3 linked regions of the Drosophila melanogaster genome follow. The protein of the gene in region 1 interacts with the protein of each later gene in a pairwise test. Each region holds a gene or a part of one and is shown in the gene's direction. Other genes may lie near its edges. The genes, in order: CG42495, CG6290 and Spase25.

Evidence for each region.
Region 2: the proteins of CG42495 (region 1) and CG6290 interact in a two-hybrid assay, tested with the Drosophila melanogaster proteins (one large-scale study listed by BioGRID).
Region 3: the proteins of CG42495 (region 1) and Spase25 interact in a two-hybrid assay, tested with the Drosophila melanogaster proteins (one large-scale study listed by BioGRID).

What each region holds. Positions count from the first base shown.
Region 1 is NT_037436.4:18,665,318-18,668,743, forward strand, and holds CG42495 (uncharacterized protein), read left to right. Parts: upstream 1-2,043; 5' UTR 2,044-2,117; coding exon 2,118-2,262; intron 2,263-2,330; coding exon 2,331-2,476; intron 2,477-2,529; coding exon 2,530-2,667; 3' UTR 2,668-2,818; downstream 2,819-3,426. Other genes in the region: MYPT-75D (myosin phosphatase targeting subunit 75D), read left to right, coding at 381-937.
Region 2 is NC_004354.4:18,435,402-18,438,801, forward strand, and holds CG6290 (uncharacterized protein), read left to right. Parts: upstream 1-2,088; 5' UTR 2,089-2,102; coding exon 2,103-2,750; 3' UTR 2,751-2,832; downstream 2,833-3,400. Other genes in the region: CG32548 (uncharacterized protein), read right to left, coding at 462-1,400.
Region 3 is NC_004354.4:11,483,171-11,486,926, forward strand, and holds Spase25 (spase 25-subunit), read left to right. Parts: upstream 1-2,079; 5' UTR 2,080-2,222; coding exon 2,223-2,261; intron 2,262-2,390; coding exon 2,391-2,951; 3' UTR 2,952-3,396; downstream 3,397-3,756. Other genes in the region: Uba5 (Ubiquitin-like activating enzyme 5), read left to right, coding at 484-764, 876-1,809; CG33235 (uncharacterized protein), read right to left, coding at 3,599-3,756. UniProt on the Drosophila melanogaster protein: Component of the signal peptidase complex (SPC) which catalyzes the cleavage of N-terminal signal sequences from nascent proteins as they are translocated into the lumen of the endoplasmic reticulum.

The sequences.
Region 1 (3,426 bases):
ATGTAAATTATTGCCATTTTAATAGCTTACTACACTAAATGGGTTTTCTGATACTAGAAATCGTACTTAGAAAACAGGGGAGCATGGCTGCAATAAGCATTAGCATTTGACTCGCATGTAACCTCCATCCCATCTACCCGATCACTCCCAATTGGTCAATGGGTATCTGCTAACTTAGTTCTCGGGAAAAGAAGAGAAGAAAAGTAAAATAACATTTGCTTGTTTCCGTTTCATTCTTTTTTGTTGTCGTTGTTGTGCCTCGTTTCGCCCGTTCTGTGTCGTCTGCCTGCCCGCATCATCATCAACAATAAAAACAACAACCACCGCACCACTAAACACCAAACACACCCAACGCCTTGCCAAAAACTTCCAACATCCAGACACCAATAGCACGCACCACCATCAGCAACATCAACAGCAGCAGCAGCAGCAGCAGCAACACCACCACCAGCAACACGTACTGCTGTTGCAGCAACACCAGCAGCTTCAGCAACATCAGCAGCAACAGCAACAGCAGCAGCAGCAGCAGCATGTTGCCTTGGATGGCTACAGCGCCACATTGGCCAATTTGAAGAAGCAACGCTCGCTTTCACGCACCGCCAATGTCCTCAATACTTTCGAATTGTCATCCCAAACAGCTAGCAATGCCCATCCAATTGCAGCAGCTAATGCCACAACAACTAATGGTTCTGTTTTAGGAGCCGGCGGCAGCAGCAGCAACAACAACAACAACCTGAGCACCAGCAACAACAACAACAACGGATCCGCACCGATCTCGACGCAGCCAACATTGGGTCACATGGGCGCGGGAAGCGTGCTATCCGACTTCGAGGGCTCCTCGCCGGCGGGCAGTTCGCTGAACAAGTTCAGCGGCATCACTGGCGACGTGGTCACCGATAGCACCAGTTCCAGTCGCAGGTGTTGCGTCCTGATGTAGAAACTTAGCGAACTACTAGAGTCACAGGGTATTAGAGCAGCCAGAATTGTCAGAGGGATAGGCCATTTGTTAAATGGCAAGAAAAAAGTGTCTTTTTATTAGATTAGCCGTATTCAGTGAGTGAATTGTTGAATGTTGATTACACAAATGCATGTTGGTTTTGAGAACGGGGTTCGATTCTGTGAGCTCCTAGATAACGGCTGAAAGTCGTTGCATTTTCCTAGCAGACACAACAACACACTAAAGACACACACAACCAATTATACGAAACAAATTTATACAAATATACAACCATATGTATACATTTTAAAGAATATTAAAAGAATTACGTATAAAATAATTGTGAGCAGTTTACCTTAGGCGATATATAACAACTAACTAAATCAAAATGAAAAAACATCAAAAAATATTTATATAGCAATGCTAAGTAAGAACCTAACTTAATAGATTTGCTTGGAGTGCATTAGGAATATCTGTGTTTCCGTGTGTGAGTGTTACAACCGAAACAGGCGAAGTATTATGCAACAAGTAAATATTTAACTAAATATATAGTACGATAGCAAAATTGTAGTTAAACCGTGACAGCAAAGTAAAGCAAAGCAATGAGACGAAATGCATAGCACTCAAGCAATTTCCACATATAAGTGTCTAAATGTTTGAATTGAAGGAATGTTAATAATGCCAGGCGGCATAGAGATTTATTTTTTAATGCAACTACTTTGCTCTGCGTTATGTAAGTTGAGTTTTGTTGAGAGGTACAAGAATATATGTATTATTTATGTAGCAGCGGTCTTTGTATATAAACCTACACAATTCCAAAAGATGCAAAAACAACGCGCAATTAGCAAATGAGACTTTTTCGATGAATGTCAAGGCATTAGCTGAACGTTTTGTAAAATAAACAAATGAAATACGAAAAAATTACACACAAATTTGATTTGATTTTGCGCCAGTTAGTTTTTTATATTCCTGTGCTTATATTTCTTATGAAGAATGAAGTTGAAGTAAATATCTACTCTTTTAAATCTCGCGCCAAGGTGCTCCACCTGGCGGGATTTTAATGAACCGCAAGCTTGTCATATGGAAGTAAGTTGGCAGCTTTGCGCATCAGCTGTTGCCTCGTTCGACTTTTGTTTACATTTTTATTGGTTTAAACTTATAAGTTTAAAGATCTAACCTAATGGAATCACTCGCAAAATATCGATACAGTTTGGTGGCTGGCTCCTTCGCAGCTGCAGGAAGCTTTTTCGGAAAACTTCCCAGCCACCTGAGCGCCCAAAAACTACTGAATACTTCGCAAATAAATGAAGACTTTTCTTATTTAGGCAAGATTGTGATTTCTTCAAACAAGCAAAATGTTTATAAATTTATAAAATTTTATTTTATTTATTAGAAATAGCATTACTTCAGCTGCTGCCACTAGTGTTAATGGTAACATGCAACGTTTGCAACTTGCGTTTCTTTTTGAAGGCCCTGCAAATGACTGAACAAACTTTAACGTGCGTCGTTTTAACTGCCGCTTCGAATTATGTCTTATCGGTAGGTGATCCACCGATCTATTTGTTCAATTATGATTACTGTTCGTTATATAGTTTGTCCTAGGTGCGCTTGTTTATCGGGAGCCACTGACAGTACTATCTGGCATCGGAATAACTCTCATTCTGGCTGGTCTTTGGTTTCTTTGCGACGGAGGAACAGTCGAGTCCGAAAAGCAGGACAAAATGGAATAGTAGGAATGGGATTTGCTTAAGATTAGCTTCTTTTATACACATTTTTCATTTGCCATATAACTTTCTGAAGCAGGGATAAAAATAGTTAAAGAAACTTAATTTTCCATTTGTAACTTTAAAATATAAAAATGTTGGGAACCCCAATTAGTCCAAAAAAACGAATGGTTTATATACTTTTGTTTAATGTATGTACTGTTTTGCAAATACATAGTTTTCATTTCATTTATAATGCACTGTTAGTGTGCACGCTTCTTCATTCACGCGGCAATAATTACAACTATTATGTTTTACGTGGTTTTGTATTTTTGTTTTCATCGTTTGTGTGTAAAAGTTTGGCAGAACAAAAAAAGGTGTTGAAATGGGATAGAGCATGACAGTAAGAGCACAAACTATAAATATATTTATCCCTTCGTTTATATATATAGGTAATAGTAATTAATTTTTATAATTCAGAATCGTTATTTAATTGCTAAGACGTATAAATACTTTTTATATTCTTTCTCTCGACATCTGTAATCATCAATCAGCTTCAACGCAGCCAAACAGACAAAAAGTAAAATCAAGCAAGAAATGGCAGATCCAAGTTACATACAAGTTTTGCCCATCTGTCGTTTGTTTTCCTTGGACGAAGTAGTGTTGTGTCCTGTCCTATCCTGTCTGGGAGTTTTAGAAACCCTTGGAGCGCTTACTTTCCTGTATTTAGTTGTAATTCTTTCGTGTTTCTAACAACTATTTTGTTTTATTATTAATACATTATCG
Region 2 (3,400 bases), on another chromosome or scaffold:
TCGGCGGCGTGTTAAAGATGAGCGTTGCCGATTAGGAATGACCCATCATTAGCCATGATGAATCTGGTAAGTGGGGCCAGTTAACTGACCAGCTAGATTCCACGGAGCACGTGCCGATGGTTTATTAGTAATGAAATGCTGTTGGGTCATATAGGATGGATTTGGGCTAATTAAGCAACTAACTAGAGTACATAACTCGAGGCCAGAAGTGCACATTCAAACTCTTCTTCAGGCAAATCTAACCCTCGTAACTTCGTAAGCCATAATCACCATTTGATAAGCCTGAAATGCATCCACCCCTCTAAAAACCAACAATTATCATCACTTACAAAATTTATTCTTGCTTGCCCTAAACAATTCCTCTTATCAAATACCACGAAAATTTACGCAAAAAAAAAGGTGTGTGAAAAAAAAATGAAAATACTAGTTTTGGAAGTCCTTGGAATAACAGCTCATCATCATTAGAAGCTGTAGTTGAGATTGCCGCTTGAGAAGCTCACATGAGAGACGTCCGGCGATTGCTGGTAGGTGGGGGATCCCAGCACGGAGGACATGGGAACGGCCATCCCATAGCTCTGGCGGGTGGTGGGCGCCAACTGGCTGGTGGCGAACTGATGGGCCACCGACTGCTGCTGGTCACGGAGCACGTCCTGCTGCTGCTGCTGCATGAAGCCCATGTGCTGTTGCGTGGAGTAGAAGTCTCCACTTGCTCCCCCTCCCAGACTGTTGGAGCGCAAAGGCGCTGATCCGATCACTCCTCCCGGGATGACTCCAACTGGACCTCCTCTTACTGGACCTCCGGGCACAATGGATCCGGATGCAAGGCGCTCGGGCTGCAGGCCATTGTTGCTGAACTGCGGCCGACGGTAGGCGAAGCGGCCAGCTGCGTTCTGTGCTGCCACGCCCGCCGGAGCGCCTCCCACATCGGCGGGAGCAGCTATCTGGGGGGTTTGGGGTTGAATCTGATGAGCCGGTGATGTTAGGCCGCCGGATACATCGGGATAGTAGTGGTAGAGCTTCTGCAGCAGGTGCTGCTGCTGCTGCTCGAACTCGGCTCGTTGGCGCTGATAATCGAGGAAGGCGGCGTGCATCTGGTCCGCATAGCTGGGCATGTTGACCACGCCACCGCTAACGCCCACTCCTGGTCCGGATGCAGCTGCTACCTGCGGCGATGTGGCGGCCAGGAGTTGCTGCTGCTGCTGCGCCAGGAGCTGCTGTTGCTGCTGTTGCTGCTGTTGCTGCTGTTGCTGCTGTTGCTGCTGTTGCTGCTGTTGCTGCTGCTGGAGCAGCGAGTTGGGCGTGACCTTCAGCTTACCATCGGCCCGGAATCCTGGCTGCGAGTACACGGCAGGATACTGCTGTCCCGACGGCGAGAATCCACCAAATTGCGTGGGAGTTTGCTGCATAGGTTAGAGGAATAAACGGATGAGAATGGAAGCTAAACCAGGACAATTTTATCCTTATTCTGAACTGGCTTAAATGATATTTAGATGAGTGTCTAATGTGCGCAAGTAGTAGGCCGTTTTCGATGTGTAACTTTTGATTTCGTTTTGTAAAATATTCATACAATTGAGCTTATAACACGCTTTCCTTTACTCACGGATGAAAGGCCACGCCCGTGATTCTTGATAATTGAGTGCTGGGAACCCAGGCATCCCTTTCCCCACTGTCCCTCCGCGTCAGCCAATCGACTGGCGTTGCCCCCACGAACTTTGCTGGATCTCATGATTCCCTGTTGTTCCGTTTGTCGCGATGTAAACTTAAAAGTTTTGACGAGAGGTTGTGTAGCTCGAGTGTGGATAGCCAAAAATTGATTTTCAAATTCAGATTTTGATACAATTTGTTTACGAAGTCTGTAGCGGGAAAAATTGTAAAACGAACCGATCTGAACCGACTGAGCGAGCAAGTGATACTGACTGGATAGCTCAACCAGTCCGGTGACACCTGACAGCTGTCGTCGGGCCAATCCGAAAGCCTACTGTGATCTCTACTAGCCATCGGTGCCATGGTGTGGATTCAAATCGATATGTATCGAAGGGAATCACGCGATTCGATGGCTTAAAAAGCGCGGATGCAATGCCGCAACCTTACAGTTAGAAACGATGAATCGCCATCAGCTGGCACTTCTCCTGGTTGTCGCGGGTCTGGCCATGATTGCGGCCAGGCCAGGTCCACAGAATCCGCTAGAGTCGCTGGGCATGGGCGCCATGTCTCTGGCCGGAAATATAGCGGAGGCAGTTCAGAGTGGCGCCGCCATCTCCCGCGACGTCGACATTGACAATCCCCTGATGTCCGTGCACTCGAAAACGGCCGTTGGCTATGGAGATGCCATACGTCCCATTGCCACCGATTCATCCGAGGAGGATCGTCGTCGGAAGCGAAGGCGGCGGAGCCTGCATCGCCTCAAACGCGCTCCTTGCTTCTGGAAAATGAGCGCTGCCGCCACCACAGCGGCGTCCGCCGACGATGACGTGGAGGCCAGACGGAGACGAGCTCAAAAGCGGGCCGCCAACAATGCCTCCCGATCCCGAGTGAGTCCCAAGACCACTGGCAAAAAGAACAAGAAGTTGGTGCGACGACGACGGCAGGAGGAGAAGGGCATGGAAGTGACACAGAATATGGACGGAGCGGATCCCTTGGGCCTGGGCACCAGAATCAAGGCCATGTGGCTTTCGTTTGTGAACAACGTAGCGGATGTGGTGCAGCAGGTGCGCCAGAAGATCACCGAAACGGCCAACTCCACGGCGTAGAATCACCGAGCTCCCTGACGACCACCATCGAGTGTATTTTTTTTGTTTGTTTATAAGTGCAATAAAATCAACTGAAAACCGGAAACTGTGTTGAGCGGCATGTTTTCTGGGTTGGCCAAAAACATTACGATTACGTCTTCATTCAAATATGTACTATAGATTACATCCATTTTAAGACCCCATCATATTATCAATGTAGTAGCCAATTAAGGCCAATCACCTTTGGTAAAAGGTGACCCCAAACGGCATTAGAGTCAAAAAAAACGTGTACTCCGTCTTTAAACTACAAATGCTTGTGAGCTCAACTAAACATATCACCAAGGTGACCCAAAACTTGGAATCCGGTTACCATTTTAAAGTGGCATACCTTTAAGAACTCAACCTTATTTGTTGCTCTTTAAAAAGGTCACCGCCGAAGAGTCACCCCCAATCGATAAAGATTCCTCAGGCAGAGGCAATAAAGCAAAAAGCGAACTGTCATTTCTGAGCAATCCGATCGAAAGTGGTCCGAGGAGAAGGCCATTGGGGTCACCACAGCAACTCGACTACTGAAGGCTGTCCAGATGGGAGATACGGAAACGAGCCGAGTCACGATGAGCCAACGGTCAGTGGGCACTTCCGGGCCAGATGAGATGCATCTCGACATGCAT
Region 3 (3,756 bases), on another chromosome or scaffold:
TAATTGTTCTACTCCTCTTTTTTTTTTTTGGTTATTTAATAATTATAATACCTATTTGTGTGTAATGATTTTGACAATAAATCTTTTGTGTAATTATACAAATGGATTTTAGTGGGAAATTTAAATGTTTTCATACAGCAAATGGAGTTGACAGCCATTTGGTTGCTGTTATTACTCGTCTTCTATTTTATGCGTCTTAAAATTCAAATATGCGCGCCATTCGTAGCATTAACCAACACTGTACCAGCTGGCAATGTAAATTGGTATATTTTTGGTATATAACTATCGACCCTCGGCCATCACTAACATGCAGCGTTGCCCCATCCCATCTAACGCAAGTACCAAACTAATTTGGCCATCTGGCAGCACTGGTCAAAAGTGACACGGCGACAACCAGCTTAAAAGCGAAAGTTAACAATTAACAATTGCTGGCGTCCATAGCCAAACACACGAGCCAGAAACTGGAGCCACCCCAAAGCCAGAATGTCGCACGCCATCGACGAACTGCAGGCGATCATCGCCGATCTGAAGACGGAGCTGGAGACGGAGCCGAAATCCAGTGGCGGCGTCGCTAGCAACAGCCGCCTGGCACGCGATCGCATCGATCGCATGTCCGCCGAGGTGGTGGACTCCAATCCGTACAGCCGCCTGATGGCCCTGCAGCGGATGAACATCGTCAAGGACTACGAGCGCATTCGCTACAAGGCGGTGGCCATTGTGGGCGTGGGCGGCGTGGGAAGCGTCACCGCCGACATGCTTACACGGTGCGTGCACAACAAGAAGAGAAGGGCAACAGTCATTGTGCACCACAGCTAGCACTCCAAATATGTTGTCTTTAATTAAAGGCTATGTATTAATCAATTGATTTCCTGCAGCTGCGGCATTGGCAAACTGATACTCTTCGACTACGACAAAGTGGAGCTGGCCAACATGAACAGACTGTTCTTTACGCCCGATCAGGCGGGCCTCTCCAAAGTTGCGGCCGCCGCCGCTACCCTGAGCTTTATCAATCCGGACGTGGAGATTGAGACGCACAACTACAATATTACAACGGTGGAGAACTTTGATCGCTTCCTGGACACAATATCGCAGGGCGGACGGATAGCTGGCCAGCCGGTGGATCTGGTGCTCAGCTGTGTGGACAATTTTGAGGCACGAATGGCAATCAATGCAGCGTGCAATGAACGCAATCTCAACTGGTTTGAGTCGGGAGTTTCGGAAAATGCCGTCTCGGGGCACATTCAGTTTATCCGTCCTGGCGATACCGCCTGTTTCGCTTGTGCACCACCCTTGGTGGTGGCCGAGAACATCGACGAGAAGACGCTGAAGAGAGAGGGCGTGTGCGCCGCTTCATTGCCCACAACTATGGGCATTACGGCTGGCTTCCTTGTCCAGAACGCATTAAAGTATCTGCTGAATTTCGGCGAGGTCTCTGACTATCTGGGCTACAATGCCCTTAGCGACTTCTTTCCCAAGATGACGCTCAAACCGAATCCGCAGTGCGATGACAGAAACTGTTTAGTTCGGCAAAAAGAGTTCCAAGCCAGGCCCAAACCTGTGCTGATCGAAGAGAAGGCAGTCAGCGAAGAGCCGCTGCATGCCACCAACGAATGGGGCATCGAACTGGTCGCCGAGGATGCGCCAGAAAGTAATACAACGCCCGCCGAAACCCCAGTGATGGGTGAAGGGCTGAGGCTCGCCTACGAGGCTCCTGAGAAGTCCAGCGAAACGTCAGAGGAAACTGTATCTGCAGCTACCGCGGACGAAACCAGTCTGGAAGACCTGATGGCGCAAATGAAGTCCATGTAAATTGATTCCGTACTCCGTATTTATAGACACTTTTTGTAAAACACACACTTTTTTTTTGATAAACTCAGCTTCGATTTGTGTAAAACTTGGGCCGAGCCATTTTTTATTTATTTATATATAGTAACTTTTAGTCACTTGATTAAATGCTTTATGCTCAAAATTATTTGAATTACGCGGGAAATTTCAATTCTTGCAGTTTCTAGTATTTCAGTATTTTAAGCTTCCCCTATCTGGCAGCACGGTCAACTAGTCCGTTATCGATTGGCAGCGATAACGATTGACAATTTTGTTGTCGCGTTGTCACACAAAAACGAAGAAAACTCCTGAAAAAAGAAAAAAGAGTTTTTCTGAGCATTTCGCAAACTTCTCTTGGAAATCAAGGGCATCAAAACACAATAGAGAGCAGATAGAAGATGGGCAAGAAGGATGAAAAGTCACAGCAAGGCGAGGAGGTGAGTAAACCGGTTGCCGGCTTGGCATTTGGTCCATTAAGATGTGTTCCACGTCATTGTAGAATGTAAATGTAAACTAAGTGAATATGTGCATAAACTAACTCCATCCTGTTTCATGTGCCCTGCCAGCTGGTGAAGGTCAACAAGTGGGATGGATCCGCAGTGAAGCACGCCCTCGATGATGCAGTGAAAACCTGCCTCCTTGGCGATCGTCCCCAGCTGAAGGAGCAATTCGGCCTGGTCAACACCCGTTTGGCCCTCTGCGCCCTCGCCGTTTCCGTGGCTATAATGGCCCATGCTTGGGACTTCACCCACCCCTTCCCGGAATCCCGTCCAGTGCTCCTCTTCAGTGTTTTGGCCTACTTTGCACTCCTCGGCATTCTGACCCTGCACTCCAGTTTCCGCGAGAAGGGCACCTTTGCGGTGGCCCTGCAGAAGGACAAGGAGCGGGAGCGCCTGTGGGAGGCCAGCTCCGATATGCGCAAGTACGACGACAAGTACCTGCTGACCCTCAGTGTTCGCGACACGAAAAATGGCAAGCGGCGCGAGCAGAGCAGCAACAAGTCGTGCGCCGCCTTCATCGATCAGAATGGCATCGTCCTGGACAACCTGGTGGCCAACGAGGTCAACCGTCTGTTCAACGCCTTAGCTGCCGACAAGAAGAACGCTAGCAGCCTTTCTTCTAATTAAACCAAATTCCCCACTTTTGTCTCATTAAATTGTACACTTTTGTGGTAAGCCGACTGTTTGTCTTTTGTAATAAGCGGAAAAACTATAATATAAAATGAATTCTTTGATTTACAGCTTAACATAAATTGTCTGAATCTGATAGAAACTTAACCAATGATTTGTGGACTATTTTATTATAATTTCATGGGTTCAGCTGCAAAAATCTAAAAGTTAAGAGGGCGGGGATTCCGGTGGCGGCAGAGGAAGAGGAGAGGGTGCCCAAACTGGAACTGGCGGCGATGGGGAAACCCATATTGCGCTGATAAGGCCATTGATATTAATTCCATATTTAACCTGGCTGCCTTCCCAGAAGTTAAACATCAAAATTGGGAGTTGTCGATGTCAAAACGTTTATATATATATATCAATGTTTTTATATTCCAAAAGCTCATATTTGTGACATACTAAAGATTTTGGCTACAAGAGAGTAATGTACGTAATGTAAAGTCTATATGTACGACTAACTCATGTGTTTTTAAAAGATTATTCTATTTGTTATTATATTTATTCACAATGTGGAGATGTCCCAATCCAAGTGTACCCAGAAATCCGAGTGTTTTTGACCTTCTTCCTGCGGCGCTCCGGCTTCCTTTGTCATCATCATCTTTTTATTTTTTCAGATATCTGTATGGGGCACTACGGTTCCTTTTCCCATTTCCCATTACCATCTTCTCTTTAATTTCTACATATTTCTTATGTCTTTCCAAAGCCTCAATTTCTGACATCTTCTGGGCCATTTTCTTTTTCATAATCATCTGCTTTTCTA